4 linked regions of the Schizosaccharomyces pombe genome follow. The gene in region 2 interacts genetically with the main gene of each other region. Each region holds a gene or a part of one and is shown on either strand. Other genes may lie near its edges. The genes, in order: atg8, pqr1, vtc4 and atg13.

What was found.
Region 1: of pqr1 (region 2) and atg8, a mutation in one rescues a mutant of the other (synthetic rescue), as found in Schizosaccharomyces pombe (one study listed by BioGRID).
Region 3: of pqr1 (region 2) and vtc4, a mutation in one rescues a mutant of the other (synthetic rescue), as found in Schizosaccharomyces pombe (one study listed by BioGRID).
Region 4: of pqr1 (region 2) and atg13, a mutation in one rescues a mutant of the other (synthetic rescue), as found in Schizosaccharomyces pombe (one study listed by BioGRID).

What each region holds. Positions count from the first base shown.
Region 1 is NC_003423.3:3,682,147-3,689,153, forward strand, and holds atg8 (autophagy-associated protein Atg8), read right to left. Parts: upstream 3,225-7,007; 5' UTR 3,120-3,224; coding exon 3,086-3,119; exon of another isoform or gene 3,005-3,085; coding exon 2,949-3,004; exon of another isoform or gene 2,783-2,948; coding exon 2,507-2,782; 3' UTR 2,135-2,506; downstream 1-2,134. Other genes in the region: rnf10 (ubiquitin-protein ligase E3), read left to right, coding at 1-1,936; cyclophilin family peptidyl-prolyl cis-trans isomerase Cyp4, read left to right, coding at 3,755-4,217, 4,311-4,453; SPOM_SPBP8B7.26 (uncharacterized protein), read left to right, coding at 4,978-5,062, 5,117-5,820; mug30 (ubiquitin-protein ligase E3), read left to right, coding at 6,393-6,626, 6,671-7,007. UniProt on the Schizosaccharomyces pombe protein: Ubiquitin-like modifier involved in autophagosome formation. With atg4, mediates the delivery of the autophagosomes to the vacuole via the microtubule cytoskeleton.
Region 2 is NC_003424.3:2,420,893-2,429,250, reverse strand, and holds pqr1 (ubiquitin-protein ligase E3), read left to right. Parts: upstream 1-5,424; 5' UTR 5,425-6,047; coding exon 6,048-7,460; 3' UTR 7,461-7,805; downstream 7,806-8,358. Other genes in the region: DNA primase catalytic subunit Spp1, read left to right, coding at 1-82; tRNA m(1)G methyltransferase Trm10, read right to left, coding at 317-1,231; ribosome assembly protein Rsa3, read left to right, coding at 1,476-1,718; epr1 (ATPase co-chaperone protein), read right to left, coding at 1,784-2,837, 2,972-3,060.
Region 3 is NC_003421.2:1,316,751-1,325,462, forward strand, and holds vtc4 (transporter chaperone complex subunit vtc4), read right to left. Parts: upstream 4,281-8,712; 5' UTR 3,841-4,280; coding exon 1,675-3,840; 3' UTR 1,625-1,674; downstream 1-1,624. Other genes in the region: phosphoribosylaminoimidazole carboxylase Ade6, read left to right, coding at 1-1,245; rpl3402 (60S ribosomal protein L34), read left to right, coding at 4,837-5,172; prohibitin Phb2, read left to right, coding at 7,094-7,397, 7,605-7,871, 7,928-7,996, 8,046-8,272; ribosome quality control complex subunit Rqc2, read right to left, coding at 8,447-8,712. UniProt on the Schizosaccharomyces pombe protein: Catalytic subunit of the vacuolar transporter chaperone (VTC) complex.
Region 4 is NC_003424.3:4,838,671-4,847,728, forward strand, and holds atg13 (autophagy-associated protein kinase regulatory subunit Atg13), read right to left. Parts: upstream 4,934-9,058; 5' UTR 4,775-4,933; coding exon 4,640-4,774; intron 4,562-4,639; coding exon 4,466-4,561; intron 4,222-4,465; coding exon 2,176-4,221; 3' UTR 1,815-2,175; downstream 1-1,814. Other genes in the region: BUD22 family ribosome small subunit biogenesis protein, read left to right, coding at 444-1,610; protein mug126, read left to right, coding at 6,185-7,154, 7,193-7,393, 7,434-7,459; ribosome biogenesis protein Noc1, read right to left, coding at 8,127-9,058. UniProt on the Schizosaccharomyces pombe protein: Component of the atg1 kinase complex that activates the atg1 kinase in a nutritional condition dependent manner through the TOR pathway, leading to autophagy.

The sequences.
Region 1 (7,007 bases), on a different chromosome or scaffold from region 2:
CATTCCTTCTTCTTCCAATATTCCCCGATCATCTGCCAAAACTAAAGAACATAGCGCCGATAGAAAGCCTCATCGAAATTCCGAGAAGAAGACTCAAGGCATGCCCAGGAAGAATCAGCAATTAGCTTCTAGCGAAAGAAAAACTAAGAATAAAAAGCGTCTTGAAAAGCAATCAAGTGCAATTGCTGATTCTATTGGCGAATCACTTGATGATCCGCAAACTGTCTATGATGAACATCTTTTTGATATTTTATCTGCGAGAACTAATAAGCGTGGTCAGATTAATCTAAATCATCTACTTAATTTTCAGTTTACACCTAGGACTAATTCGAACGCCTTTTCTGCTCCTCCGCGTAGGTCCCGTGGATATAATACTTATGGTCAAGGATCTGGTCATCATCCCATGGATAAATCAAGATATGTTAATGCAAACTATAGGTTTGTTGTCTCTCCTATTGGTGATTATCAATCACAGAAACTAGATCCAGATTCTCCGGTAAAGTGGGAGGATGTTTGGCAAGTACTTTGCTCTTCCGATTTTCAACTAGCAGCTTGCCCGTTTTGCCTTGAAGAAAAGCCTGTCGCTGCAAGGATGTCCAGATGTGGGCATGTTTATTGCTTTTCTTGTTTGCTTCGATTCGTCGAGACCCCTACGGCGGCGGAGGTTAAAGCCGCTGAAACTTCTGGCACCAAGATAGTAAAATGTGGTCATCGTAGCTGTCCTATTTGTTGGGATAGCATACGTTTACGAGATGTTCATCCTATCCGCTGGGTGGAAGACAAGGAATTTCAGAAACTTGAGGAAGGAAAGTCCGTCTGCCTTCGTTTATACCAGAGGAATAATGGATCTATACTTGCGTTTCCTAGATCTTGTAGATCTTTTGCTTTAGATGGATCATTTCATTCAGATGAAATTCCTAATTTTACTATGAGCGGGGCTGCGTACGCTCGTATAATTATTGGATCTCACGATTATATGGTTCAACAACATTTATTAGAAATTGAGCAGCTTCAGCAAATAGCTGCTGAAGATATTTCATTATATGGGTCTGCAGATACATACTATGAACGAATCACACAAATTTTGTTAGATCGAATCTCATCTTTATCTGAATCTGTTAATGAACAGAACATCAAATCTTTGCAAACCGACATTGATAATCTTTGCCTTCAAAGTAATAGCCTCAAACAGCTTTCCGAAGTTGACGATTTGAATGATGTTAGCGGATCTGAAATCGCAGATGCCTATCTATTCTATCAACCTTTCGCTCACTCCCACATCTATCTCTCTCCTTTAGATATTCGTATTTTAAAATCTGCTTTCGGATCGTACGAAAATTTTCCTGATGAGCTTGTTCCTAGGGTAGAAAGAATATCATCCGGTCACTTAGTGAATTCTGAGCTTCGTCAGCGGTTCAAATATATGGCTCATTTACCTGAAGGCTGTGAAGTTGCCTTTATTGAGTGTGATTGGTCTAAGATTATTCCCAAAGAAGTCTTGTTAACCTTCAAATCAGAAATCAGTAAACGACGCAAGCAACGTAAAGCTCAAGAAATGAGAGAAGAAAGGTATCGACAACGGGCTGAACGTGATACAGAGGAACAGATATACTCCGAGTTAAATATGCAGAGACCTGTGCCAAAAACCGTAGTGCATGAGGACCCTGCTGAAGCATTCCCCACATTGGGAAGTCATCATCAATTTGAATCTACCGATGAGGTTAATACAGATGAGTCTACCTTATCTACTGCAAAGACTGTTTGGGGAACAAGAGCTCTTGCCAATATTCAAAATGACACCGATGATCAAGACGATCTTGATGGTTGGAAAGTTGACTGGGACAAAGTTGCTCAATTATCTGCACCTTCCAAAAACTCAAAAAACAAAAAAAAGAAGAAATTAGTTTTATTATCAACAGGTGCCGCCCATCGATAAAGATGGAGCATTCTCAGTGATGAAATGCTACTGAAATTTTTGAAATGCAGGAGTGGGCTTTATTTTGAAATATAGTTATAACACTTGTTGCTTGAATTATGAAAGTTTACGATTGACCAATTTTTTGGGGCATGTGAATAGTATTCGCTATTATGACAACCAGTTAATGTAAAAAAGGATAGAATCAGCTGATGATATATATCTACTTATTATTTATCAACATTTTAATATTATTAGAAAATCAAAATCAATTTTTTTAATTGATGGTTTTTATTAATTAACAAGGTAAAATAACTTTGTTGTCAAAGCAAACTAGTCATAAGCGTTCATCACATCTATTGTAAGACAAATCTGAAACATCCTTAAAATCGTGGTGGCTAACCTGAGAATGATATGTATAAGACGCGCGTAAAATAATCATAATGCAAAAGCAAAGAAACTTGAAAGCTAAAAAGCTAGAAATGCAGAGTAAAAAAAACATAAAGAATCATTCAACCATTGTCCACAAACAATTTTGCTGATCACAATTAAAAGAAGGCGGGGCCATCTTAAAACAGGCAAATTGTTGATCTAAAAAGGAAACACTGTTCCAAATGTATTTTCTCCTGAATACGTGATATACAAAAAGCCGTCCTCACTTTTATGCTCTTCGTATATCGTTGACATCAAGGCCGCTGTCGGGGGCAAGATTTCATCAATGAAAATAAAGATGGCCTTCTCAGGAGAAAGTTTTATCCGTTTGCGAATAACATATACAAATTGACCAACTGTAAGGTCAGATGGAACGAGATATTTCTTTTTATCTATTGCAGCAATATCAGATTTATCAACTTTCTCGCAAATAACCTGTTAAGTTAGCAGTTAAGTTTAAAACGTAATTTGTATTTTTGAAAGAAAAAGGTCAGACTTGTAACAATGGATTCACTTTTGATGACAAAAACAATGGGTGTTGTTCAATTCACCACTATTTTGCTCTGAAACCTGTTCTCTTTGACCACCAGACTCTACTTACAGGTATTCGATCGGGATATTTTTCCCGGATTCTTTGAGACTCTGTTTTTCGTTTCTCTGATTATTAATTAGCCTACTAGTTCCAGGTATTCTACAATGCTGTCCAAAAAACAACTTCTATAAGTTTTTGACACATACCAAAAGAAAAGTCGTCCTTGAATTGAGAACGCATGAGAACTCTCAAACTTCTTGCTTGAAGTAGTAACTCCTCTCTTCAATTGCTTCAAAATTCGGTGTTCTTTGTAAACGGTGCGTGAGTTATGTGGTATACGGTCTTGGATAAATAAGCGTACCCTTGGGTAACGTATACAGAGATATGAAGCAATCTTATGATACTATGATAAGTTACCTTATTTCGTAATAAATAAATACTTTACGAATCTTAAGCAGTACACAATCAAAAGGAATTTTTACTACTTCTTTATAGTATGATAGCCATAATTGGTATATACTCAATCCTTGGTACAACAAAAGTCACAACTCTTTTAGGAAGAAAAGCAAGAATGGAAATAAAGACGTTGTGTAAATAAATAATAGCACGCTTAACACGTAAATACCTTCCAAAAAAGGTTAGGAAATAGAATTTTGCAAATAATTACTATTTCTATCTTTCATTAAATAATCAAACCATTAGAAAAATAGTAGTGTTTGATGTAAACAAATAAGCGCTTCTTGAATTATTTGCTTAACATTGTGCTAAAAGTTGCTACAGCAACCAAAATCTAGCGAGTCTTGCTATTAAACCCCACCATAACTATTTATTTATCCTTTACCACACAACGAAGCTTTTAGTTTGTGAAAACAAAAATGAAGTTGTTCTATTTCTCTTTACTTTTTACTCTTTTCTTTGGGCTTATCTCTGCCAACCGTGGCCCCAAAGTTACAGACACAGTGTATTTCGACTTGCAACAAGGTGATGAGTTCCTTGGAAGAGTTACCATTGGATTGTTTGGTAAAACTGTTCCCAAAACAGCCGAAAATTTCCGCGCATTAGCCACCGGAGAAAAGGGATTTGGATATGAAGGATCTATTTTCCATCGCGTTATTCCCAATTTCATGATTCAAGGTGGTGATATTACGAAGGGTGATGGTACTGGTGGAAAATCAATTTATGGCAGCCGTTTTCCTGATGAAAACTTTAAGCTTTCTCACCAACGTCCCGGTTTGCTTAGCATGGCTAACGCTGGACCCGATTCCAATGGATCTCAGTTTTTCATTACTACAGTTAAAACACCTTGGTTAGATGGACACCATGTTGTTTTTGGTGAAGGTAAGAATTCATATTGTAGTTGTATATGTTTTATAAAAGTGACTATTTGTTTTCTTTTTCCTTTTTTTTGTTTGCTAATACTAATTTTATCAGTCCTTTCTGGTTACGATATTGTCAAGAAAATTTCCAAAGCTGAGACTGACAACCGTGATAAGCCTCTTGAAGATGTAAAAATTATCAAATCTGGGCAGTTGTCTCAAGAAAATGTTGAAGATGACGGAACAGATGAATTGTAATCCCTACTTTCTATTTATGAAAGTCATCAACATCTAGTGTTTATAAGATTTACTTGAAAAGCAATGATTTTACATTCTGTTAACATAAACGTTTATCATTGGAAGGATCACTTCTTGTGGTAGTTTGTTTGCATTTTCTGACAGCCATAGTTGTATAACTAATATACGCATAAAGAATGCGATTTTAACAAGTTTTCAATTGAATGAATATAGAACTCTACGTATATTATCCAATTTAGCAAGCGTAATAGCAATGCTGCAATTCTGATAGTAAGTATTGACAACAAACGCGAAGCTTATTAGCTGCTTACTATTTTGTTATGTTTTATCAAAAAGAACTCAAAGACATTATTTTTTCCTATCAGCTGGCTGATATTACTAGCACGTTGTGTAGTTGTTTACCCTATGGGCTCTTAGAAAAGCGGACTTAAGGAATTTCGAGAGTCGGAAGCTGTCCACCGCAAACATTTGGGTAAAATCGGTTTTTGCGTCAATTGTGAGAAATCAATTTCAAACTAATCGTAATGTTTGACTCAACAAAAAAATCACTGCATTCGATGTCGGATTCTGCGAACCGCTTCCAGAATAAGATTACATCGAAATTACCAGGTAAGCATATTTCCTTTGCTTTTTGAGACATTACTAACAAAATGGGATTTATAGGTGAACATGGCGAAGATGCTATGTATGATATTAGATCCGTTCATGGAACCGGGCCTCGTTTATCAATAAAATATGTCGATGTTACAAAATTGCCTCCTCCTCCAAAACATGCTTCACAGTTGCGTGCCGGTGGTAGTAGTACTGGAAGTACACCTAGAACGGCTAGCCCGGCTGTAGGAAATCAAGATTATTCGAAACCCTCTTATTCGCAGCCTTCTTATTCCCAACCTTCACAGCCCCCCAAGGAACCCGCTCTTCCTTCAAGAGGGACTCCTTCACTTCCTAGTCGACCAGGGAGTCGTCCGTCCGTCTTAAATCAAGAACAAGTCCCACCACCTCCTGTTCGTCCTAATGTAATGTCTCAGATGCCCCCACCTCCCTCCTACAGCTCTTCTGGTTCTTATTCCCAAACTTATCAGTCAAACGCTAATTATACTGCCTCTTCTCCTCTCCCTACAGCTTCTGCAAATGCACCCTTGCCGGTTCCTCCTCCCCGAAGGGTTTCTCAAAACAGTTCATATGCATCTGGATCTGTTCCCGCGGCGACTGCTGCTTCTACAGCGTCGCCTGTTAAGAAACCACCTCCACCTGCACCTCCAAAGCCAAGAAGACTTGCTGCCCGAACTTCTAGTAATTCGTCCGGTGTAAGCTCGCCAACTTCTGTTCCACCTCCGGTTCAAAGGAATACTCGACCCAACCTATAAACCAAATTTTTGCTTTCTATTTTCTTTCTCTTACTACACCATTATTACCTAGGATGGCCTATTTAGCATACTAGATGTTATTCAATGTTTAAATCATAATCTTCTTAAATCAACTTTCCTACGAATAGTCGTACATACTAGGTAATTTGACAATTTAAAATGAAAGGTATCATCAATGTAGGAACGTTCAAAAATCTTAAATAAGGTACTGCGAAGTCGACATGGTAATTTTCTTTGTAAATGTCATAATATTTACTTCTGCATTTAATGACATACATATTATACAAGAAGAGTAAAGAACTTATCTGTTTTAACAGTATTCACCTTCAAAGATCTTAGAAAATTGGTTCAACTGTGATGATCTTTTGACGAAAGAATGTTAGAATGACTACGCCATGAGAACCTGTTGAATATCGTAATATTTAAGAAATAACTATACCAATATATGTATAGTGTAGTATGGCCTAGATATGTACCATACTTTTACAGATTTGTCTTTTTGTTTTGGGTTAGTCCCAATTGTTTATCTGTAGAGCGAAATATAGATCTTTCTTAGAAGGTGAATTGCTTATATGAGTCGCCCTATTGAAATAGCCAATGTGTCTTCTGGAAACCGTAGAACGCTCCCAGCACTTCATGGCTCTAGTTTTTCTAGCCGCTCAGAACTTGACAATAATACAAATTCAAAAATATCACGTCGCTTAAGAGAGTTAGTTTGTCAACGTATGGGTGAAAATCCACTTCGACTTCGACAGTCGTTTCATGAGACAATTTCTAATGATAGTTACGGGAATTCAGAGAAATTGGTATTTAGGCTAATTGTTTGGCTAATTTATTAACAAAATTATAGGTGATCAGGCCCTGCATTTGTTGTAATAGCGTCCTGCGCTACCCTGCACAAGCTATGTGCTTTCGTTGTTCATTATGTATGACTGTGAACGATGTTTATTTTTGTTTAAGTGGCTCCCAAATAAAGACAAAAGCTTCAACCGATGGATCACAATTTATCTCAGTTGAACATTTTGTTGAAACAATTCATCAAACACGAAGTGCCTTGCAACTTGCTAAGCAGCGAACTGGCAACGTTCAAGCTATTGTGGCTGCAGGCTTACCATTACGAGAACTTATATCCTTAGTATTTGGAAGTCCACCGATATTGAATAAACTGTTCTCGGTTAAAAATGGTT
Region 2 (8,358 bases):
GCTGTACTTTAAATCGTTCAGTAGCCAGCTTTTTAAAGAAACAGTAGGAAATAAAAGAAAACATGAGAATTTGGAATTTTAAAATCGTATTTCAACAATCGATTCAAGCTTTAACTAAAAATTTGGGCATACATTTACTCATGAAAGGATGGAAGCTCTGACTTCTATTTACGTGGAGCATATTGTTTTCCGTTAAATCGACAGTAATAATATATTTTTTAATACCTCTTTATTTATCCTTTTTTGCTAAATACATTATAATAATAAAAACCAAAACAAATCAAAAGCATAACTAGTATGATTTTAAACTAGCGATTTAATTTTCTTTTTCCAATTCACTATCAGATTGATTTGACTGAGACCTAGTATCCTCAGAAACATCAAACGATTCGTCGCTTTTAAGCAAAATTCCCTTTCTTTTTGGAATGACCTCCATGAATGCCTTTTCCCAATCTCTGTACTCTAACCAAAGAGATAATATTTCAAAGACCTGATTAACCGTAAGTATTTTCCTATCCGTAATTTTAATGTATTCATCAATTGGAAGCTTTGCAGTTTTGATCCCTTGCTCAGACGCTTTATTTTGACATAAATTTTTGTACCGATTCTTGTCGACAATCGCACCAATAATATAAATCTTGTCTTCATCGAGTTCGGTGATGGTGTTATCTGAATCAGCAGAAAGATATACTAATTTTTCTTTTTGGGATTCAAATTCCTCTAAATAAGACTTAGTAGTTGGGTTGTATCGTTTCCAATTATTTTGTTGCCCCTTTAGCACAAAATCTTGTCTGGTTTTCAAACGTCCACCAAAGTTGGTAGCAAAAAGTTCTACAGGATGTAAAGCTGTACGATTTGCAGAATGACATCTAGTAACCTGTTGACATAAAGAGTTGATTTCTTTATCGTTCATCAGATCATCAAATGCACAATCCAAAACAATTCGGATACTACTAGGAACGACCTTTCCTAGTCTGATCCTCTTCTTTTGACTTTTAACTACTTCGCCAGCTTCAATTTTTCGCTTTCTTTCCTCTTTTCGTAATCGCTTTTTTTCCCGGCGCATCTCTGCTCGCTTTTCACGACCTGCATCCCACTCTTGCTGTCTTTTTAATCTTTTTAATGCAGATTTGCTAAGAACGGGTTGCTCTTGAGTTTCATTTTTAGAAACGTCAGCTTCAGAAGTATTTGTGTCATCTTTACCAATATCTAAAGCGTCTTTGTTTTCCATAATTTCCCAACTTTATTGCAGTCAAAATATAGCCTAAATTTATCTAGTTATATCGTTATTTTGAACCTAGCCAGGCTGTTCATCTAATGGAAAAAGTAAGAGTGTTGTGAAGTATAAAAAGTTGGTAACTACGCCAATCTCGCAATTATTAACTTTGGGTAATAAAGGGATTCAGGAAGTCGAAAATAAAAAAATTTTGCAAAATTGTATTATTTACAAACTTCGACAAAACAAGCTTTGAAAAATGGCAACAAACGATCAAAAAATCGATAACAAATCGACGGTATCAAATATGCTTGAAAATCCTATGTTTCAGACATTTTCAAAAAAAGAAACAGAAAAGCCATCACTATCTGAATATATGGAACAACTTACTTCAGAGTTTGGAGAAGAGCTAGACAATTTAAGGCAAAAGGAAATTTTTGATCATAACAAACTACAATTGCTTATTGAAAGTTTGCGTGCTGGTCACAAAATTTATGAATAATGGTTTATATAACTTAGCAAAAAACAGACCTGTATTATTCTATTAAAAAAGATAAGCTTGCGGTGCTAATCTTGATCCAACTTATCGTCTTCGTTCAAAAAACCATCTTCGGATGCTGTATAAAACTCGTTATCAGAGATTTCGACAAAAGTAAATGTTTTTTCTATTTCCTCAAAACTTCTCGTATAGAAGTCAGAGGAAGAAACTTTGTTCGAATATGGGGATTCGCTAGGAGCATCTTCGGGTTGTTTATTCGATTCCGCGTTTTTCTGGGCTTCTTTTGCGTGCTTTTTTATTTCTTGGTTCATTTTCCTTAAATTTTTTTTATGTTTTTTGCTGTTTTCATGGTTCTCCAATTGATTTTGTGATCGAAAGTTCTTGTTACAAACCATACACATTATTGGATTTGAATTCACAATTTCTTTGCTCAAAGATTCATCATCGCTGGATGTTTCTTCCTGATCGATTATTGTCCAAGACGCAATTGATTGGTTTTTAAAAGTTTCCTGGTACTGACGCCGATCACGTTCACTTTGCTTTCGCGATGCTTCTTGTAGGGAGTTGTATCTTTCTCCATCGCTTAGTTTCACAACGTTTTTTCTCCGTGGATCAAGATCACATGCTTTTCCTATTAAATCTCTGACAAGTTCGTTATATCGCTGAATGCAGTATTGTATCTGCCTTTGATTTTGTCTCTTCATTAATCGCCGTGTAGCTGCATCACTTTCCTCTTCTTCATTATATAGAGCTTCCCATTCAAAAGATTTTTTCGTTGAAAATCTTAGCCATTTTTGATAAATAGGTTTGGCATACGTCCAAAGCCAAGTTGTGTCCCCTAAAGTTGGAAGGTCGTCTGTGGAACCCGCTATTTTTTCGTCTTGTCGCAGTCTTTCAACGAACGCTGAGGTGCTTTCAAAAGGGATTTTCTCAATTGTTTGTAGATGCTGCAAAACGTCTTCAATTTGTACAGAATATTGGTTTCTTAGATAGTCTTTTTCATGCCATTTTCGTTTATCATCATTAGAGAGAATATTGTATGCAGCGTTTATTTGGGAAAATATTTCGTTATAGTCTTCAATGCCCGGATTTCTATCGGGATGATATTGCAAAGCTAATTTTCTGTTATGATTAGTAAAGATACACAAAGGCGATCAATTCTTCACAACTTAAACGATTATGTTTTAATCACAGATCGAAAAGCTGTAAATTTATATTCTATGTTGATTGATTAAGTTGAAAACAAGTTTTCATACCGGTAATTTGCTTTAATCTCTTGCAAGTCAGAGTCATGATTCACTTGCAAGATTTCATAGCAATCCATATCCTTAAAAGGGTTATTCATGATTGGTGATAAATAATTTGCATAAAATCATAAGTTAACCAGTAAAAGACTTATATAAAGTAGCTTCAAAGACAAAATTCCAAGGCCGAGGAGTGGAATGAATTATCAACCGCAATTGAGATTGCTTGTGATAAACTAACAATTCAATTCTACAATTGAAATACAAAAAAAGCAAAAAAATTGAGAGTTGCCCGTTCAATCGCCAAAATACAATACCTTCAGTACGTTCTATGTAAAATGGTGATCTTTCTCACAAACCGGCGACAATAGCTCCCAACTGTGTTTCAAAAAATGTAGAAAGAGACAAAAAGGCGAATTGACGAGAAACAACGAATCAAAATACTGTTAATGCTAAAAAATAAAGTAATATGCTATGGGTAAATTAAATCTGTGTTGACAAACCCGCAAATACATAATATGGTGTGGTCCCTCACGTCTCGCCAATGCTGAAGTAAATAAATACAACAAGCGAAACATAAGTTAAAGTTGTGTACGAAATCATTTGAACCCTAAATAAATTTGTGTTCTATACATGCAAACTTTAGACAGTTTGAAATCCGAAAAATCACTTTTGTAAAAAATGAATATATGAATAAATATATATATTAACATATATTGATATATGTATAATCTTAATACAGTTTACAAACTACTGTCTTCTTAATTAAGAAAACATGGTTCTCATGAAAACTTATATTGTTATTTAAGGTCTTGCTGCTATATATGCATTAGCAAAATGCACATTTCCAAAAAATGAAGTTAAAATTATCAGTTTACAAAAGACATTGAACTAAAGATCAAATTTTTCCACAACCGAATTAAAATGTAAGATTGTGTTTTTTAGAAGAAGCCAATGCGCTAATAATAATGCCATGCTTGCATTGCTTAAAAACAAACGAACTTCTTGCCTTCATGTAGCAAGGCTATTATCACGAATTTTCATGTTAATTTCGCTATGAATGCTTGGTCTTTTCTGAGTTAATCAATACTATTTAGCTAAGGTTTCGCTCATATAGAATACGAAAATTTCGCATTTATTAATGCAAATTTCCTCGATGTTTTTAATATATTGTGTTGCTAATCTGACTATATAACACTGCCTCTTCAAGGGACAAATAGTTTTAACAAAATTTGTTTACATTATTGAGTCAAGCAATTACGACCCGATGTTATAAGCATTACGCAGATTTCTTTTACAAAAGGGAGGTCTCTTTCATTTACCCCAAGCTTAGCATTACAAAATCATGTGCAAATGAGAAGACTACTTTTAGGGAAAATAAAAATCTAAACTTGATTGGAAAGCGAAAGTTTAAATCCTAAATTGTTTGAGGTTGACGTGTTAGTTTTTCACCGTAATAAGTAAATAGCATTGTATAATGAATAAAAGAAAAATTTTGATAGTTTAACAATTGCTGCTATTCATATTTTAATAGAATCTCAAAATTCATACTAATCGACTTTCTTATCCTTCTATATTCTTCAATATTTCAAACTCGTTTTAAGTCTCTCCTATAGCTTGGGATTATTCAATGAAATTGTAATTGTCGTCCTTTCCTTTACATTGTGAATACTAAAAAATTGCTTCTTCCAGAATTGTTTTATTGACTCACGGATTTGCAACATGTCCTTCTCCTCTTTTTTTTTTTTTTTTCTTTTTTTTTCTAATCTGTAAAAAAACCAAAATTTTACAATCTCGATAATCCTTTTAATGTCTATAGTCATCAAACACGTTTATCTACTTACTCAATACGATAATGTACAATAATTCCATACGAAACTTGCCCTTATCTGTTTTAGTTTTTTGTGGCACACCGTTAACTAATCGTGAATAAAATGGTTATTACAGTCATAGTCCGGTTTAATCGGATCAATCAAATATAATTAGATACCTACTTATTATCATATACATACAAAATTAAAAACAATACAAAAAAGAGGAAAACAAAGAGGCTCAACTTCTTACCGACTATCCTTTATCTCTCTTTTTTTTTTATTTTTTTTTATTTTTTCTCTTTTGGCACAGTGCTACAGAACATTTGTTCAACAACCCAACTCTGTACGTTTCACACATTGTCAGCAAATTGTTGACAATCAGCACAAGCCTCATTCTATAAAGCTAAGGAAGATTTCGTACCACTGCTGGTCTTCCAATTGCCCCTGCTTCCTTTCCTTTTACTGTAAGGCTTACCGGAAGGCCGTTTACTAATAACATTGCGAACCCGAGTGCGGTTGGGTAGTATTACCTATACCGCAAGTTCCTCCGCTCTTTTTATGACGTCAGGGGGAAATGCTTTGGTTTGCCACCTTGCGTCGTCTAACGCGGTGCAATATAAGGATGCGAAAGGACTGCAAGGATTTTCACCTGTCATGAACCAACAAGGATTTTGACGATTAGTACAGTGTTAAAACTTTTGAAATAGTATCGAAAATTCATTTACTATATGTATAAGTATTAAGGAGTTACGCATCTCTTTACAATTTTAAACACTCACGTACCTTTGGTTGAATCAAGCCAGGCAGGTCTCCGTTTGCGAACGACGGTTTCGGTTGATTCGAAACGTGGTATTAGAAAATCATTTTATTTATTTTCATTCCCATTCCATTTATCTATTCTATCTAATTTCGTCCCATTGTAGCTTGTTGTTTTATCACAAGCAGCTTTTAGGTCTTTGGGCTGTTACTTTTTTCTTCACTTCATTCCATTACTAATATATATATATTTTAATCAAAACGTACGCAATTCAACTCTGCGAAACTCTATCTTGCAAGCTTTCTTTCTCCATCTGCTTGTAATAAAGAAAATACTTAACTCCGATACTTCGATTGCAAAGGTCGGAGCACTCATTTTTATAAAAACCACAAAGCTTTCTCCTTCTTGGGCTTTGGTTTTTTATTCTGTAGTTTTACCGCCTTTCAAATATTTTGATTTCAATCTTTTGTAAAGGTTTCATCCTCTTTCATTTTCATTGAAAAAAAGTCCTTCCGATATGAAATTTGGACACGATTTTAAAAGGGCTCTCGAAAACGATATGCCCCCTGGTTGGGGCGAGGCTGCCATTCAGTACAAGGCCTTAAAAAAATGTATTAAAAGGTTCGTTTTTGAGCTGTCTTCCTTGGGTCTAAGTGCTGAGACCATCAGTAAATTGATGGCTCCGACTACCGTGGATCCCCAACAAGCTATTACGCTTAGTTACTCCCTTGGCAAAGAGGGACACATTGTTGTCCCCAAAATTATTATCAACGTAAATTTTGATAAATTGAAAACTGATAAGTTCGCTGCTTCAATGTTCAAGCAGTTGAATGCATCAAATATGATTACAACCGTCAGGAGTAATTATGCCTCAAATGTTCCTTCTACTCCTTCGGATTCTACTCAGCAGCCCCCTACCAATACGTTACCAAGTGTGTCCGCATCATCTCAGAGCGTAGAGACTTGTGAAACGGTTGATGAAGATATCGATACTCAAACTATGAGTTCTGACATGTCCGAAGTTCAAAGTATGGAAATATCGTTGAACTGTGACCACGAGTTTTTTGAAAAATTAACTTCGGAGTTGCAAAGTGTTGAAGGACTACAGCGTGAACAGCGTAAAATTCTTTTTAACGCAATTGATATCCTGAGTCATGAAATATCTCTTATAGCTTCCCCTAATTCCAAAAAGAAATACAAATCTCTTTATTGCTGGAGAAAAATTTTCGAAATTTATATGGATTCCGATATATTTATTTCTTGCAAGGAAGCTGATCAGAGTCATGAACGCACTCCCGAGCTCGCTGAGCGCCATTTGAAATGGTTTGACGATCAGGTCAGGCTAGCAAAATGTCTTCCCTCTTCCTCAAAGCATCGTGATCGTATTTTGTATGCTAAGTTTCTTGAACTTAATGAAAGTTTGTTGAAAGTTGCTTCTTTTCAGCAAATGAATAAGTTAGCCGTTACGAAGATCATGAAAAAGTTTGATAAGCGGACATCCTTAACCGCTCAACCTCTATTTTTTCAAGTTATCGAATCAGACCCTCTTCTTTTGGTCGACAATGCTTCTAAAGCTATATGCTTTTCACTCTCTTCTAAGCTATTCTCGATTATTCCTCAACTGAGGGATTTTGAATGCGCTATATGCTCTAACGTTGCTTACAAGCCGGTGAGATTAGGTTGTTCCCATGTTTTTTGTTTGCATTGCCTTATCATTCTTCAGAAACAGAAAGTTGATTTCTGTCCGTTGTGTCGTGCCAAAGAAGTTATGAAAGCCGATTCTCGCAATATTGATCACGCCTTGATGAATTTTATGAAAACATATTTCCCAAGAGAGATTAAGGAAAAGTTTGAAGAAAATGAGAACGATACGTTTACTCCTTCTTCAATTTCTGTTGTATCAGGTCAGAACAATTGTGTGATAATGTAGATAGACGACGGATTTGTTTCCGCTAAATTCCCAACCCTCTCTTAAAGGCTCAGGACTATTTTTTACTCACTATATTTGATTATCTGTTTTTTTATGTTTTCCTTGCCTAATTTGCATACTAACTTTCTATTTTTCTTTCCTCACCTAACTTTTATTGCTGTAAATAGCATTTTCGTGTGTTTCTTTGTTATAAACGTTTGCTTATAATTCTCGGTTTTTTCTTATATTTAGCTTTTTTAAATGCTTGTACATAATACTTGCTCATCACATACCATTAATCTTTACTAAACCGAACATATTTTTTAAAAATCAACATAGACAATAGACATTTATAGAATTTTAGCTTACAAAAGCTGTGTAATGTTTTAGGAAATCGTATTCGTAACTTAAATTTACCAAATTTGAACTCATTATTCATATTATTCGGAAGTTCTTGTAGTCAACCTCTGATGTATTTGTAAACTTAACGTAACTTTCAGCAACTAAACATTGATAGTCCGAAAAACAATGCTTTTATCTCAATTCCTAAGTTACCCACTTACAGTGTTTAATATGTCTCTCTTCACAGATTTTAATGAATAATTGTGCTATGGGTAGTAGTTTTTGTGTTTGGAACACTAGCAAAAGCTGTTTTTTGCTTTCTAAAACCGACTTTACCGGAGCATCAAGAAGTCCTTTGCCACGATTTCACTGAAAACTCCGAATGAACAAGATTTAAGATATTTGACAACGTTTAAATCCGAGTATTTCGCGGAGTAATTTAAGGCTGTTTACAACTATTACTAACTCAACCTAATATCGGAGTAGTTTTGAGCGTTGTACTTTTTTGTTATAAGTGGAAGTAATTATACTTCACCAGCTACTAAATATTCTAAGTGGTAATGGAATATATAGTGTC
Region 3 (8,712 bases), on a different chromosome or scaffold from region 2:
TATCCTTTTGTACTGAAAAGTAAAACATTGGCTTACGACGGTCGTGGAAATTACGTTGTTCATCAACCATCTGAGATTCCTACTGCCATCAAAGCACTTGGTGATCGTCCGCTTTATGTTGAAAAGTTCGTTCCTTTCTCCATGGAAATTGCAGTGATGGTAGTACGCAGTTTAGACGGAAAAGTTTATGCTTATCCTACAACTGAGACCATTCAAAAGGATAATGTTTGTCATTTAGTATATGCCCCTGCTCGTCTTCCCTTCTCAATTCAACAGCGTGCTCAAACCCTTGCCATGGATGCGGTGCGCACTTTTGAAGGCGCTGGTATATATGGTGTAGAGATGTTTGTTTTGCAAGATGGTGAGACCATTTTACTCAACGAAATTGCTCCTCGGCCTCACAATTCAGGTCACTACACCATTGAAGCTTGCCCAACTTCTCAGTTTGAAGCTCACTTACGGGCCATATGTGGTCTTCCTTTCAGCGAAATCAACACCCAACTCTCGACTTCCACAACTCATGCGTTGATGGTAAATATTTTAGGTACTGATGATCCTGATTATGTTTCAAAGATCGCTAAACGTTCTCTGTCCATTCCCGGTGCAACTTTGCATCTTTATGGTAAAGCTGAATCTAGAAAGGGTCGCAAGATGGGACACGTTACCATCATTTCTGATTCACCTCAAGAATGTGAACGTAGGTATCAGATGCTTCTTGACGTCAAAGATCCTGTCGAATCACCTGTTGTTGGTATTATCATGGGTTCGGATTCTGATTTAAGCAAGATGAAAGATGCTGCCGTCATTTTAGATGAATTCAAGGTGCCTTACGAACTTACTATTGTTTCAGCTCACCGCACACCAGATCGCATGGTTACTTATGCTCGTACCGCAGCTTCAAGAGGGTTGCGTGTGATTATTGCTGGTGCTGGTGGTGCCGCTCATTTGCCTGGTATGGTTGCTGCAATGACACCTCTTCCAGTAATCGGCGTTCCTGTAAAAGGAAGCACTCTTGACGGAGTTGACTCTCTTCACTCTATTGTTCAGATGCCTCGAGGTGTCCCTGTCGCCACTGTTGCTATCAATAATAGCCAAAATGCCGGTATTTTAGCCTGTCGTATACTTGCTACATTTCAACCCTCCCTTTTGGCTGCTATGGAGAGCTTTATGGACAATATGAAAGAGATTGTTTTAGAAAAGGCTGATAAATTAGAAAAAGTTGGTTGGAAAAATTATTCTGCATAGGCGACCATAGACATAACTGTTAAATGATTTTGCTTGCTTTTTGTTTTAAATAATATTTTATTTTGAAATTCTAGATTGTAAAATGTATTCTAAAAAGTGATTAAAAATTAAAAATAAAAACCCCCCGAATAATGTGCTGCGACGCAATTAAAAAAAATAAGAATCCTGAATAATGTGCTGTGAAGCAGTTGAAAGAAAATTAAAGAACCCAATATAATATGCTATAAAGCAATCAAAAAATAATAGTAAGAAACCCAAATAAAACCCCGTTGACCATGTTCCCAATTAAATTAACGCATATTAATGCAAAAAATGCAATATTAAGACTAGTTATTAAACCGATAATTAGTCTTCAATTATTAAAAGATGTAGTTGATTTGTATTATCTTTCAATTGCTAATTCTAAATATATTGGAGAATTCAATGAGTTTATGCATTGAAGTTTAAGATAACATTGGCGCTGATTGCAGCAAAAGTAATCACGCATATAGCTGTAGGACCAAAACGATCATCATATCGGACCGCATTATGTTTGGCTATGTTAACAGCTCTCCACAAGTACAAAAACGTGGAATAGAAGATAGCAAATAAAGCTACCAACGTGAAACTAGCAGCTCCTAAAATACCAGATCGCGTCTTAGCGAAACTAAATAAAGTTATACCGATGGAACCCATCAAAATAGAATAGCGTAGATAGTCCAGGTATGTACGCTCCAAGGCAAAATATGTCTTGGGCTCAACACGGACTGGGACATAAATTCGCTTACCAGGAGGCGACACATACTTTTGTTCATATATGACCGTAGGCTCAGTAGGTTCTTCGAACTTGGGTACAGTCTCCAAGAAAAATGAATCCTTAATGTCCTTTAATCTGCTGTTGAGAGCTGCAACGAATGAGTCACGTCCTTTCCTTTTGGAAATATCAAGCAAATTAGTGCGTTCATCGAGCTCTTGAAAACTGTCCGATGTTTGGAAGGTAGAATTGTCATTCCGGGTACTAGATGAGCCAATACGAGATTCTTCGTCAACATAATTGTCACCATCGGCATGAATTGGTGTATTCTCAGAATCGGTGAGTACATTCGCAGAGACAGATGAACTATGAGTACCGCTTTGACTGCGTCCCTGAATGAAAGTGTGAGTAGCAGGTTTACGAATATCAATGTCCATTTGTGGGAACCAATATGGAAGCAAAGTAACACGGTCGTAAAAAAGAGTAGATACACCGTGGATGAACTTGGAAAACTTAGGGACAGCCTCGACCAGGTGGCTATTAACAAGATTGTTAACCCATTCAGGAGGATCTTGACCAAATTGAGTTTGCAACTTGACCTCCAAAATGGCATAAGGGAAACGAACAATATCTTCATCAGGAAGTTGATCAAAAGGATAGTCAATTCCAATATCCATTCTTCTCCAGTTGTTACCGGCGCGGGACGGACCGTCTTCCCTAATCAATGACAAGTTCGTATCAAGAGAAATACGAACACGTGCATCACCTGGAAGTTGAAATGCAGTACGTTCATAAAAGCTGCGAACATAAGGTTTCATTCCACGGCTCAAAACAGTATACTGAACTTCCTTGGCAAGCCTTTCAAGACTTTCGATTTCTTTCAAAGACTTCTTGCCATCTTTACGCATCTTGGCAAATGCTTCTTCGACAGTGTAATCACCTCGGAGAAAAGCATTTACATATTTCTCTTTAAGGGGAAATCTAGCTTTCACACTTTTTTCACCAGTCCAGTCTTCTCTATGAGTCTTTCGTTCAACAAAGATATTGTTGTTATCCATATTACCATACCAACGAAGACGAATAGCTTCGGCGCCTTCACGCTTTTCCAAACGGCCTAAGTAAAAATCCAAATCATCGTTATCATAGTAGATACTAGTAATAGCAGCATCTTCACGAGCAAATTCTTTGTTAGGATTGAAAACAAGTACAGGAAGATGCTTTAAAATGTAAATCTTCAATTCGGTAACATTATTTGGGTGAACCCAATATTTAGTGGTTTGACGCACGAAGTTTTGTTGTGTACCACCGGCAGCACTATCACCTTTGATAGGGCTACCTCTAGTACGAACGAAATCGTAAAGCTTACTGAGCTTAACAACCAATAAATCATATTGCTCTTTGAAAAATGGTTTAGCATTTAAACGAGCAGCAAAAACGGGCTTAAGGATCCAACCTGTATGTTTGTCGTGCTTCTTGATGATTTTATAAAACGCAGTGTAATTAAGTTCGCTAAATTTGGCCAAATCGTGGACAGTAGCCATAATGTCGGTAAGTTCAGTTTCCAAGATTGCAAAATCATTTTCATTGGGAGGATTATCACTATCAAGACGACGAACAACTTCATCAGTTTGTTCTTCACAGAATCGGATACGTTCCATAACTTCGGCAGACTTGTTCTTTTGAAAAGAATAAACTTTATCCAGCTCCTTTTCTAAAAGTTCAACAAAGTCCGACTCGTCTTCCTCACTCCAACCACCTTGATCATTGCGGCGTTTAATTTCCTTCTTTAGTTTGTCATAGTTGACATATGAATACTTGTATTCATACATCAACGTTTCCTTCAAAAGCTGACCAAACTTCATGTTGCAATTTTCAATAAGTTAATCTAGTAAATAATAAAGAGGGATTCAAGGGAAAATAAACGTATAAATTTGGGAATAAAGAATGATTGAATTTTTAATATCAAAGACTGTTATTAGGTGATCCCTTGAAAAATTCGACGAAGAGTAAAAAAAGTGAAAAACAACTGCAAACGGGAAATAATATCTTCCTCTTTGGGAATTTTACTAGTATTTGACAAACTTAAGTGCCAAACAGTAATATCCTACGAATAAATCTTCAATATCACAAAATTTGTTCACAAAACAATCAAAGAGACAACAAGCACTTTTGTAGCTATAACTTAAGCACAAAAAAAATTAAAAAAAAGGTAACTCCAAAAAAAACTCTGTAGAGTCAAAAAAAAACTGTAAATATATCTGTAATTAAACGAGCTTGAACGTTGGTAGTTTGCAGGTGTGGTGGAGAGAAAAATGGTCAGGGTGGTAGTGGCGTAAAGATGAAATAACTCAAAAGTTGACAAGATCGGGAAAAGGCGATCCAAAATCAATTTCAAAGCTGAAGAAGTTGATTTTTTAGGTGTGAAAATCTGATGCAAATTAAAAAGCAAAATGTCCTCGAAACATGATATTTCTGATTTCAAATAATCTTCATTTTAAAGCAGTTAAGTATAATTCATTATGTTATTTTGCGTTGAGTTTGTTATGCCTCGATATATCCGTTTCACGATCCCAAACAGTCACGCAAAAAGTTGGTTTTCAGAGCAATAATCAACTCTCCGTGCGCCTTACACTTCTAACAGAAGAAGTATAAAACAAGAGGACAAAGTTGGTCAGTTTATCATAAATTTAAGGGTTCTATAGAAAAAAAGAACGTGTACACTTGAATTTTGCGATTGCCTTTTTTTTCGGTGGAAAAGGATAGTTAGGAATATTTCATTAAGGAATAGCATTCAAGCAACCAAATCAGCGCTGTAAAATTTTAATAATTTTATTTTCATTTTCATTTCATAATTCAAAATGGCTCAAAGAGTTACTTATCGTCGTCGTCTTGCATACAACACTCGTAGCAACAAAACCAGAATCATCAAGACTCCCGGTAATAACATTCGCTACCTTCATATTAAGAAGCTTGGTACTATACCTCGCTGCGGTGATACCGGTGTTCCCTTGCAAGGTATTCCTGCTTTGCGTCCTCGTGAGTTCGCTCGTCTCTCGCACAACCAGAAGAAGGTCCAACGTGCCTATGGTGGATGCCTTAGCGCCAATGCTGTCAAGGATCGAATTGTTCGTGCCTTCTTGATTGAAGAGCAGAAGATCGTAAAGCAAAAGTTGAAGCAGATGTCTCAAAAGTAAAGTTCATGAAAACAGAAATTAATTATATTGCGTCACTGAATTAAGCAATCTATATTAATTTTTGATCAGCTTCCTTCTCTTTTAAATTGGTATTTGGTATTCATTTTCTGTTTGTGCTTCTTTTTATTTTGTTGTTAGTTATAAGCTTCGTTTTCGACTTTTTTAAGACGTCAAAAATTAGATTACTTAAAAAAATGTAAACCAATTATAATAGCAACGTGCTACAAATAGAAACAGTTGAAATAAACACACTATGATGAATGTATCTACTTTGACCTGCTGTAGAATGTATCCCTTAACTTTTAAGTGTCGTCTTGAGATATTGATACAGTGTTCATCAATTGTATGTCACTATTAGTTGTGTCTTGTTGGATTATCGATTGCCAGGCATAGAAGGATACGCTATTAGTAAATCAAAAGAGTAAGATTATACATTTACGATTCATATAAGCAACTGCGAACACTTGAGCTACTTACTTTTCCTTTTTGACGTTTTCGAAACTCCTGCAGATAAAACTTTCGTAAAAGAAAACTACTGTTATTTGAAAGTGAAAAGAATTACTCGTATTTAGTACAGGTTTGTGCCAGGTAGACGTAACAGCTAAAATAAATGCTAAGTAATTTATGATGACTTTTATCTCAAACGAGCTGAAAGATTGAATATATTCTTCCGAGGTTTATTTGACGTTACCTTTTTACTTTGCTTGTTCAAACGTACAATATTTTCAAATCTCCTCGGGAGGCCTTATCTTTAATATAGTCCTTATAAAGTTGGCTATTTTCTTTTATGTATATATTACTTCTGAGCTTGCGCTAAGATGGATGATGCTTCATTTATGCAGCTTTTGTTCAAAATACATGTTATAACAATAAAGCTTCTTTTTGATCCTTAGATATACTTCAAAAAATTAGTCTAATAATTATAATACTACTAAATATCATGTATACATTTTTTGACTATTATAATTCATATTACTATGTTTCTCGTTTATACCAATCACTATTGTGACCAAGGGCCTATGTCTTTTTATTTTTACTTTTATTTATTTTTTTTTTTTAATTATGTCTCGTAGAGTATCGATTGCAGATATTTTTATTTATTGTAAACAAAACAAAGCCCGTCTATACATTAAATCGAAAGAAGGTTTACAAAGAAAATTAAAAGTAAAAGAATTACTAGAAAAATTCATTTATGTGTGCTTTTGCACCAAAAGATAGTAAATAAGAAAATGCAAAACAAATTTCGGTTTCATATTAAATATTGTAACATTGTTGCAATATTCTATTGTCTTAGCATACCTTTTATAAAATTCAATCATAGAATGCTGTTAAACGTACAATGCAAATGTAATTGATAACTTATATTTTTGAGTCCCCGATGGCTTTTCTTCGTTTATTTATCAGACAGTTGATTAATTACAGTTTTTTTTGTTTCAAAAAATAAAACAAAATAACAGGTATGGGAAAAAATATTTTTGTTTAGATTTTAAATGCACATCGTTCACCGTTTATTGAAAAAGCAAGTTTTAAAATTAAAACGTCAATACCTTTTTGTTTGTAATTAGAAAAAAAATATAAATCATATAATGAATGAAGTTTAGTAAGTTTCAACTTGTTCGCGAAATAAAACGACGCACCTCACATTTTCTATCAAGGCTGCACACTACAAAGCGATAAAAATAGCAGTATTCAATTCCTGCTAATTTTATATTATAATATCAATAAAATAAAAGAAAATTATGAAAAAAACTATCGAGTTATTTGTTTTTTTTTTGCATATAAAACAACATTAATCCAACTCAAATACCGTACTATGATACAATACGATAAAATGGATAAGGTATACTGAAGTGCCATTTTAAATGCTTACTTATACGTATTCATTTTACAAGTCTTTCTTTCCCGTATACAGCTTTTCAGTATGAATCGTCAAAGACCGTTCCAGCAGATGAATGATTTGATGAAGCGGGGACTTCCTAAAGGAAAATATGCTTTTACAGGAACTGGTTTGTTGTTAGCTCTTGGCCTTGCAGGATTTGCTGTGCAGACTTCTCTTTTTAACGTTGATGGTGGTCACCGAGCTATTAAGTATAGCAGGATTGGAGGAATTAAAAACCTTATATATCCTGAAGGAACCCACTTCTTGATTCCTTGGATCGAAACGGCCATTGATTACGATGTTCGTGCTAAACCACGAAATATATCTTCTCTAACCGGAACGAAAGGTAGGTTACAAGAATTAAAACGTTGAGCGTACATAACTAAAGGTGACTGTAAGAAACATTCATTTGGTTTTTATACCTACTGTGAATTAAGCTTTTAGTTGCAAAGTGATGAATTGTGTTTATGGATTCTACTCTTCTCGAATAGCTAAGCTTTGAGGGGTTTTTGTTGGTTGTATTACTAGAAATATGTTAACCATTTTTCTTTAGATTTACAAATGGTGAACATTAATTGTCGTGTTTTGTCTCGTCCCGATGTTCATGCTTTGCCAAAAATTTATCGTACTTTAGGTGGTGATTATGATGAACGTGTTTTGCCCTCTATTGTTAATGAAGTCTTAAAAAGCGTTGTAGCTCAATTTAATGCAAGCCAGTTGATCACCCAGCGTGAACGTGTATCTAGGTTGGTTCGCGAGAATTTAATGAAGAGAGCAGCCCGATTCAATATTTTGCTTGATGATGTCTCACTTACTCATGGTATGACTAACATTAGTCAAGCGTTTGTACCTTAAAATACTAACTGCATCCAATAGTTCAATTCTCTCCTGAATTTACAGCCGCTGTAGAGGCCAAGCAAATTGCCCAGCAAGATGCTCAAAGAGGTATGGTTCAGCTCTTCGTACAAATTCAATATTAACAATAATTTTTTAGCTACTTTCTATGTCGATCGTGCTCGAATGGAAAAACAGGGCTTTATTGTTCGTGCTCAAGGTGAAGGTAGAGCAGCGCAACTAATTGGTGAAGCTATTAAAAATAAGCCTGGTTTCATCGAGTTAAGAAAGCTTGAAACTGCTCGTGAAATTGCAAACATTCTTTCAAAGAGCAATAACAAGGTCATGCTTAATGCCAGCACATTACTTTTAGATGATATTAAATGAAGTCTAATGTAGGAATTGTCATTTTATTAATAAACAAATTTAACTTTTTGATACAAAATTCTCTTTGAAAACCATAATATTCGCTGATTTCTTCAATTTCTGTTTAAAAAAACAAAAACAAAAACAAAATCAAACAGTGAAGTAGCTCCAACTATTAATCTCAAATAAATATTTTCATTTCTTTGACTTTTTGGTATTACCGCTAGATCCAAAAACCATCTTTAAACGACTCACACTTATAGGAGCAACAATTTCACCGTCTTTAAGGTTTTCAAGATAAGCAGCTTCTTTTGATGACTTGGGAAGTTTTTTCATGAAGTAGGCGATTGATTCCCTTGCCGCTTTCCCAACTTTTCCAGTTCCAGGCATGACTTTTACCTTCTGGTTAAATTTAGTCATAGCATTGTATGGGGCAAATGTCGGAACAGCGTTTATCACAG
Region 4 (9,058 bases), 2.4 Mb from region 2:
TTTTGAACTTAAATAACATTAAGGTTACTAAAACAAAGAAGAACACAACAGCGGCTACTGTTCAAACTAAGTCCAGATTTTAGTTTAAACATTTTAATAAGCGCCCATGTTGTTTAAAACTGCATGCTAGTCATTTTGGCTTGCTTCATAATCCAGCAGGACAGAGAATGGTACTCCTTCGCTGATTCTAATAATAGTCTATATGAATTGATTAAAATTAAGTTTTATAATTATTCACCTTAATTGTAAAGAGCACTGATGATGCTATATTATCTGTGGGGCGTATACGGTGAAATTACTCTTCACCACATCGGTAAAAAATTGTATATTTTGCTGGTTATGCTATAATTGGGCATAATAACACAAAACTTACTATTATAGAAATTTCATTTGGTTTTTTTGGATTTTAGTGGGTTATACTCAGGGTTTGCATAATTTTTTAAATGGTTTTTACGTCTCACAAAGGCGTCAAAAGAAAAAGTCATCACTCTCAATTAAGTGTCGATGATGTTCCAAAAAAGATACCTCTATTTAAGAAAAAAATATCACAGGCATTGAAAAAGGCATCTACCTTTGAACGGCAAAAGCTTGTACGAAGAATTAAAAATTGTAGAGCCAGTGAAGATGCTGATACTCTTGGCCGTTTTGAGGCAGAATTTGAATTTGCCAAACAATTTGACTTCACCAAATTTGTTGATTATTGCTATTATAAAAAAATCCTTAAAAACAAGGATTTTCGGAAGTTACTGAACGAAAATCTTCATGTTGATTTTCCTGCAGATTTGACTGAGGATGCTCAGAGAAATACCGTTGCTAGAATTTTAAATTCCAAGCAATTATCTGATGCCATTCGAAACATCAACTCAATACTCGAAAAGTATCTTCGTTTCTTAAACCCCGATTTACAAGAGTTGTCAGATAAAAAGGCTGTGTCTTCTACCCAAAAACCCATTAAGACCATCGGAAAAGTAGATTTGTCAAACAAATCAACTTCTAATCAAGACCAAGTGGATAATACCCATGTTCAAAATAGCACCGATGGCGTTAATCAAGATACTGGTATGATTTTGGATAATACTGAGGACAAAGAAATCAACAAGTCTATGTCATATTCTATGAAAAATGAAGGTGTAAAAGAATCATCTCTTCAAAATGCTACTTTAATAAACAGGAAGTCTATAATTGATGATGAGATGTTGGAAATTCCTCTGGGCAAACATAACAATACTAATCTGCCTGCCCTTACAGCGGGCTTCTTAGATCCAGTCGAAAGTGATGATGAATTTGTCGAAAAGGAGTTAGAAGAAGTAGATATCCCGAAGCGTAAAAATCGTCGTGGTCAAAGAGCTAGACAAGCTATTTGGGAAAAAAAGTATGGTAAAGGTGCTAACCATTTGATAAAAAAAGCGACTGAAGAAAGGAGTATTCGTGAAGAAAGACAGAGAAAGTATGAAGAAAGGCAAGCTAAACGTGCTGCTCGTGAAAATGCTTTTACGGAGCACCAAACACCTCAAAAACCAGAGCAACTGCATCCCTCTTGGGAGGCTAAAAGGAAACAAAAAATGCCTTCTAGTGCAGCATTCCAGGGTAAAAAAATAGTTTTTGACTAATCTTAAACATTCCAATTTATAAAATAGTAGTGCTTTTTTTCGATATTCAGGAAGTAAGAAACATCCTCTTTTTTTCAAAACAATGGTAAAACATCATAGCGTTTTACATTGCTCAAATCGCAGCTAGAAGATTGTATTAATATCTTGAAACTGTATACGTTGCTAATATTTTATACACAGAATAAACAGAGCTAACAAATTACTATTATTCATGATGTTTCTGTTGCTAACTAGTAAATTTAAATTTTCAATAACTGTGATTTTTTAAATTATTAGAAACTAAATTACAATTTCAATTAATACCTACACTAGCTAGATAAACAGTATATGTAGATACTAATCATGGTAAATGTGAAAAGTACAGTCAGACATTATGAGTATTTTCAATCGCTGCCCAAAGCTCATGAATTGAGGCGAATATTGCGAAATTCACTTGTATGGAACGAAGCTTAATTGAAGCTATAATGCAGCTGAAAAAAACTATTAAAAAATTAAAAGAAAACAAGAATGGTTGAGTGCATTAAATGGATGCTATATCACTCCAAATTCTAAACATAGGCTTCGCTTAATCATCGGATTTGGGAGAACCAAGCCTAATAGCTGAAACATCATGGGGTTCAAGAGTCATATCAGTCATTGTGAACAATAAATCATCATCATAATTGGGGTTATGCTCATTGTAATATTCGTAAGTAGGTGTTGAAGGAGTAAGACATTGACGTCGTTCTTCAGAAAGATTATCAAAGTGCTTTTTGTACTCTTGTGGGATTCCCGGCTCAAGTACAAAAGAAGGGCTGGGCGTCTTTGTTGCTTGTAGGCTTGCTGGCGTTGATGAATGTTCCAGTGATTTGGATAAGCTGGTGTGATATTCGAAACGCGGAAGTCCAGCAGAAGTAGCCGATCTAGCACAAATTGGTGATTGACTTTTCCGCATATCGTGAAGAGATGCTAGTTGCTTTGAAGTATCGTTTGCTGATGGTACTTCAGTTTGAGTATGAGGAATAACAGTGCTTGGAGACCGGTTATCTCCTTGGAACGTGGAAGCTTGTGAAATGGATGTCAGGGGAGCAGGGAAGGTAGATTTTTCAGAGAAGGAAGGCCGAGATCGCAGCGTACCTAAAGTGTGATGGCGCATGATGCTATGGCTAGAATTTCCAAGATTATGCTTCACAGCCTCAGTAAAACGGGATCCGCTATTATCAATTGAATGATTATAGGTATCGATGTCAAAAATTTCATTGCTACTACCCAAGGAATTATGAGGGTGAGCAACTGGCGAAATTCCAGATGTCAAAGTTTGTACCTTCCCTGGAAATGAACCACTTGATTTGCTACCTTCCGAAGCATTTAAATGATGTGCATGACTATCTAATAGTTGAATAAAACCGCTAAGATCATCCTTTGATGCAAATTCACTATCATAAACAGCATGCTCAGAATGATCTGTTATAGGATTCTCTGAGACGTTATGTTTGAAAATGCTACGAATAGGATGATTGACTAGCGGTAAACGATTACGAGAGCTAAAGCTTTCTTTACGCTCGCGGGGACCGAAACTACTGCTAAATCGTCGAAGATTCGGGGTATTGGAAATGTCAAGTGTGTTAAGCTTAAGACTTCCAGATGTAAGAGGTGGCAATTTTGCTCTTGATTTGCTTGCAGCATCAGAAATCATTGAAAATTTATTTAAAGAGGTGGCTGATGGTCCGCGATGTATATAACGATTGACTGCAACCTTCGGAGAAATTGACATATTGTCAAAATTTGACCCTGGGGAAGCAGATAATGACGGAGATTTGAAAGGATGTATAGTAACAAGAGGAGCTGCTTGAGCTGTTATAGACTCAATGCTAGCTAAATGTTGGATTTCAGATTGTAAAAGAGAATTCGGATCCGACTGCTTAGCTAACCGCGTTGCAAAAGAAGGAGGTGGTTGATCATACTGTTTGCCATCTTCAAAATCTTGAGAATTGTTCGAAGCAGCAAGTTGATGCTTGTCTGCAGATAACAACTGGTTAGAGAGTAACGCATCAGAATCATGAACCTCAAAATGACAATTTTTACGATACTGAACAGATATGCGAAAATCTCCAGCTGGTGTACCAACAGGGCTGAAAGAGAAAGTTGCAATACTGCTTCCGAGCGAGGATGAAATTGGAGCACTTATAGGAAGGAAATCATTCGATAAAACATCATCCGTAGAGAGGGCACAGCCAACTTTTAAAGATGTACCATGAGCTCTTAATTTGTGTATTTTCGACTTCAATTTCCACAGAGGCATAAGATGGGTATAAGTGTAGAGGGAACGAAATAAAACAACTAACTTTTTGTACAAAACAGCCAACTCCAGAGGGGTTGATAAGGCTTCGCCATCTAAATTCACAATCCATCTTTCAAGTACGATTTTCATTGTCGACATATTATTAAAGTTGATTGCGTGAGAATGAGTACCATCGGAAACAGAAAGGGTTTGATTTTTTGATAAATCAGATATATCTAAATATGTGTGCAAAACCATTGGAGGTATTTTTCGTGAAGGAGAAAGTTCAATATTCTTCCAAATTTTGAATTGCTCGGCATAAAGCTCAGTTTCAACAATTTCCAAATTGAACTACATTTTGTTAATTAAGTGCAAATATGAATTTTTTAATTATTTGTAATTCCACATTTATACATCAATAGTACAGTGATCAACTTATTCACCTGTAGCTTAAAAATGAAACTCTATGCAGACGCACGAGATGAACGTAAACTGATAAGTAATTGATAAATAATCTTGAGTTTTTTGAAAACCACTGTATGAATAAAGCGCATAACACCGATACTCGTCATTGTAGAAAAACAAAAATACATACCCATTTGTTATTCTTAGAACTTTCTCGAGGACGAGAGGTCCCAAATACATTTAGTCTGGATTCCAAAATTATTAATCCGGTTTTATAAAAACAATGCTATTTGTAAATGTTAATACTTTTCAAGTAAAGGATGGGTGGACCTCAAGCAAGCTTATGATACACACTTTAACTTACGTGAATGACTTGGCCCAGCTTAGCGCTCCTACCACCCACTGATGATAGATCTTTATTTAACTCAGTTGAAACTGCTTTACTATGCCCAGGGGGAGCAGAATACATTCGAGGAAGCTGCGTATTAAGTCTCGGCATATCAATGTGGTTTCCATTAATTCAATTGCAACTTCAAAGTATAAATTATTAATTTTTTAATGTAACAATTTGATTGTTAGCTCATTCTTTAAATTGATAAAGCAGTTTTTAATTAGTTTTCCTAATTGAATGAATTTGGTTTTGCAGTTCGTATTTGGTAAGGCAGAGTATTGTAGTAAGCGGCAAAAGATACTACAGATGCCATGCTCCAACGAAGCACGGTAAATATTAGCGTTGCGTTAAATACGATTTCTTTCGATCACGTTATAAGACAAATGGTAGCTATATTTAAAGGCTCTTTAAACTGCGGTGAATCTTGTTTTGTGAGCTATTATTTTGGAATATAAAGGGATTATGTGCAACAGTGCTGCAAGTAGTCTTGTTGAAGGGAACAATTTAAATTCACAATAAATGGAGCATAACCTACAACAAGTAATTAAGTAATCTGAGTTTTATTTGATTTATGATTCCCTTAATCCGAAAAAACTTCGGACATAAACATACAATTTTCGAAAATTGTCAATAAATGGATATTAACCGTTTTTTTTTATTGCACAACAAATGATGATACGTAATGTATTGCTAAATGTAGGAAATGTTTGTTGACAGCCGCTAAATATTCGCTATTTTAAAACCCAAATACACAAACATCGCTTATGGAAAACAAACAATAATGTCGATTTATGTTGGCTGAGTGTACGGTAATTATTAACTAATTAAAATCATTTACAAGCACTAGCTTATTGATTTAGGATGCATTCTCTATCACTTTTGTGAAAGTTAAATGTAAAACCCTCAGTATTATCATGTTTGAAGCGATGCAACTGATGTTAAAGGTAATGGTCATGATTTTAACCCGAAGTTAAAAGGATATTACTGACTTCTAAGAGCTCTTAGTTTTAATAAAATGCTCATTTTTTTGGCAGTACTAAGTTTTGCAAGCTTAGGTTTGCTCAGCCCTTTTCGTTTTTAAAAAAAAAAAGGAATTAAATTATGTGGTAGTACTAAAATACCTTGAATTTCGTACTCTGGTTTACCAACGATATAAGGAGTCATAAAGAAACGAGACTTTAATTAATTTTTGTTTTTGCTATTAAATTGCAGATGCCATAAGTCATGATGCTGCGATGTTTTCATCATCAATTGTCAAAATGTTATATATTCTTTACATTCCAAATCACCAAGATTAAAATACTACTTTTTGAAGTTTCAAATTTGTTGGTTACAAGGTGTTTCTATTTTTTTTAGAAATCCAATATAATCGCTTGGCTTTAATTGTACTGCTGCTATTTGTTTTTATTTAGAAGTCTTCATTTTTCGGTTCCCCAATTATAAATTATCTGACTGTTGAAAACAGATTTACTGCTTCAATATTAACAATAATTAATAAGATAGAGATAAGTTGAAGAAATGGGAGAAATGCTTAACGAGAATACATCATCAACATCATTGTCGTCTTTTTACGTTTTGGAAAATGAAACCATTTTCAACGTGCAAGAAGAAATGGAGGAAGATGGTTCAGAATCTGGAAATATTCAGAAGACCTTACTAGAGGATCCGTGTCCGGAAAATGTCAATGACGAAAATGAAGATGAACAGAATAGATCTTCTAGATCGTCAAGTCCACTTGTGAAGCATGAACAGAGACATAGAATGTATAACTTGAAGGAAGTAATCAAATCATTCATTCTTACAAAGTCAAAAGAAAAACCATGCGACCTGGAGATGGGAATTGATTCAATTGAAATGGGAAGAATGCAAAGCTTTGAAAGTGATCAACAGGAATCTCACACTGGTCAAGCGAACTTTCCAACTGACCAGGAGGATCCTCGAAATCCTCAATTAGACTCTCAATATGAAGCTTTCATTACTCAAGGGGAATCACAAACGGACAAAAAGAAAACTTCGACAGTTCAAGAGGAGGAGCTTCAGAATGCTGGGAAAAAATTGGAGACTGTTCAAGAAAACCCTCAAGCTTATTCAAAGGTCACCCAACAGGAGCCACAGGCTGGTCAAAAAGCTGTACCCCAGGAACCACAAGCTAATCAACAGGAGACTTCGAGCAATCAAGAGGAATCATCATTTGATCGACAGGAAACTCAAGATGACAAGCAAAAACCGAAGACTACTCAACAGGAACATTATAATCTTCGAAATAGAAATCAGGCGACAATCACAAACAGCAACTCAAAACCTCAGACACGCCGTTCAAAAATATTTGTCATTTCCTTACTTGGATACGGAGTCTACTTGCTAGCCTTTCTTGATTTAATTGAATATGTTTCAAAGGAATACGGGTTTGAAGCAACAGTTTCGGCACAAATCTTCCTGTGGTGTTTGTTTGGAGTTTTGATGATTGCCAGAGGGCTAATCTACCTAGGTAAGTTAAACACCATAATATCAATACTAATTTTTTAGCATTGTTTCGAAATTTTTTAAATATTTTAAAACGAATGGCGATATATTGCGGCGCATGTTTTTGGGTTTACGCCTGTATCTTCTTTTTGACAAGGGTATTCTGTTTTCTAATAGACACACCCTACCCGCAATTCGAAAAAATACCGCTGGAAATTTATTCGATTTTTGCTGCTATAAATGTTTACATTATTGAGCTAGGGGGTAAGTTTTCAAATCGTGCTAAATTTAATAACTTGTGTAGCAATATATTGCACTTCAGGGCGTTAAGTGCTTATTCGTTAAATTTAACTGCAGATCATCATCATTCTGAAATTTTACATGTTTCACAACTTTTAAAATGACCAAAATATTCGCAAAAAGCTCTGTTAATTTGATGATGTTATTGTTAACAACTTTCATTTTTTATCTCTTTTTTATTATAAATCGTTGCTGGTCTGACGGATGTGATTGCATTTTCGTTTCTTTAGAGTAACACAAGCAAATAATACATTCATTTTCTCAGACAAATTGAAACAAAACAGCTAACATTCTCCCAAAAATTCTTTAGTAGTGTAAAGTAACTATTAAATCAAAGAGCGCTTAGTTTATATAAGAATTAATTTTTCTGTTTATTCAATTGATAAGGGGAATTGAAATTACGGTCATCTTAAAACATAGAGTATATTACTTTCTATACTAGAAAATCATAGTCTTTTGTAAATAGTAATGATAAAATTCAATCCTTACTATAAATCCAATACAAAGCCGGTATAGGGATAAAAAAAATTTTTTTTTAACAAATTAATTCTAATCTAAAAAAACTATACCCGAAATATGCAAATCCCAATTAAAATATCCATTATCGCCCCCTAACCAACGGAAAAAGGAATATAATAAACCTTCGAAGTTATACGAAATAACCAAATGTTGAATTACAATACTTAAGCAGCAAAAATCAATTTTCGAGTAAATGAGCATACGACTCAGCATCAGCAAATACAGGTAAATCTTTAATTGCTTTTCTCTTTTTCTTTTTATGAGAATGGGTCTCGGAATGATCAACGGTTTGTATTTCTTCCTCATCGTCAGTTTCATTGAACGGAAGCAAATCATTTTCATCTTCAAAAAAATCAACAGTATCATCAAACTCATCTTCAGAGTGTGCAATCTCCGAAAGATTTTCCTCGTCTGAAAACATGGGTTTTTCTTCGGAAGCCATTGACTCATTGTCATTCTCATCTGCAGACTGTTCACTATCACTACCCATATCGGTCATTGCTTTATCCATCTCTTCAGAATCAAAGTCACTTTCCTCTTCATCCATTTCCAATTGTGGTTTGGAATCAACAAGAGCTTTCCAAACTTCATCCTCGTCAATTTCACCCTCTTCATCCCTATCCACCTTTGTCTTTCTAGCCTGCTTTCCCTTGATATATTTATCATTGAAAAAGCGATAAAAGAAAAGCTCATCAACAGGAATCTCCTCTTGTTTCTTTGAAGTGAACTGCTCAGAGTTCATTGGAACACCACTGTACGTAGAACCAGGAACATAACCTTTGCTCAGGCCTCCAGCTAATGGTTGCATAATTGAATGACCACGAGCAGCAGCAGACTTCTTCGGGTTTCTATATGCAAATTTGTCAAGAAAGTGGTTCAACGTATGAAGCGACAAATTAGGTTTACCCAATATTTTTTCACCATAAACAAGGCTCTTGGCTAGGAGTGAAACGGTTGGGTGGAAATGGTTCAAAAAAGGGTGAATTTCCCAAAGACATGAGCCATCTGCGTTACTGTATTGAGGGTCTCTCTTTCTACCGTCATAAGAGAGATGCTCTTTTTTGGTTGAAACACTAACATTGCCTACAACATAGGCAGAATGAGATTGCT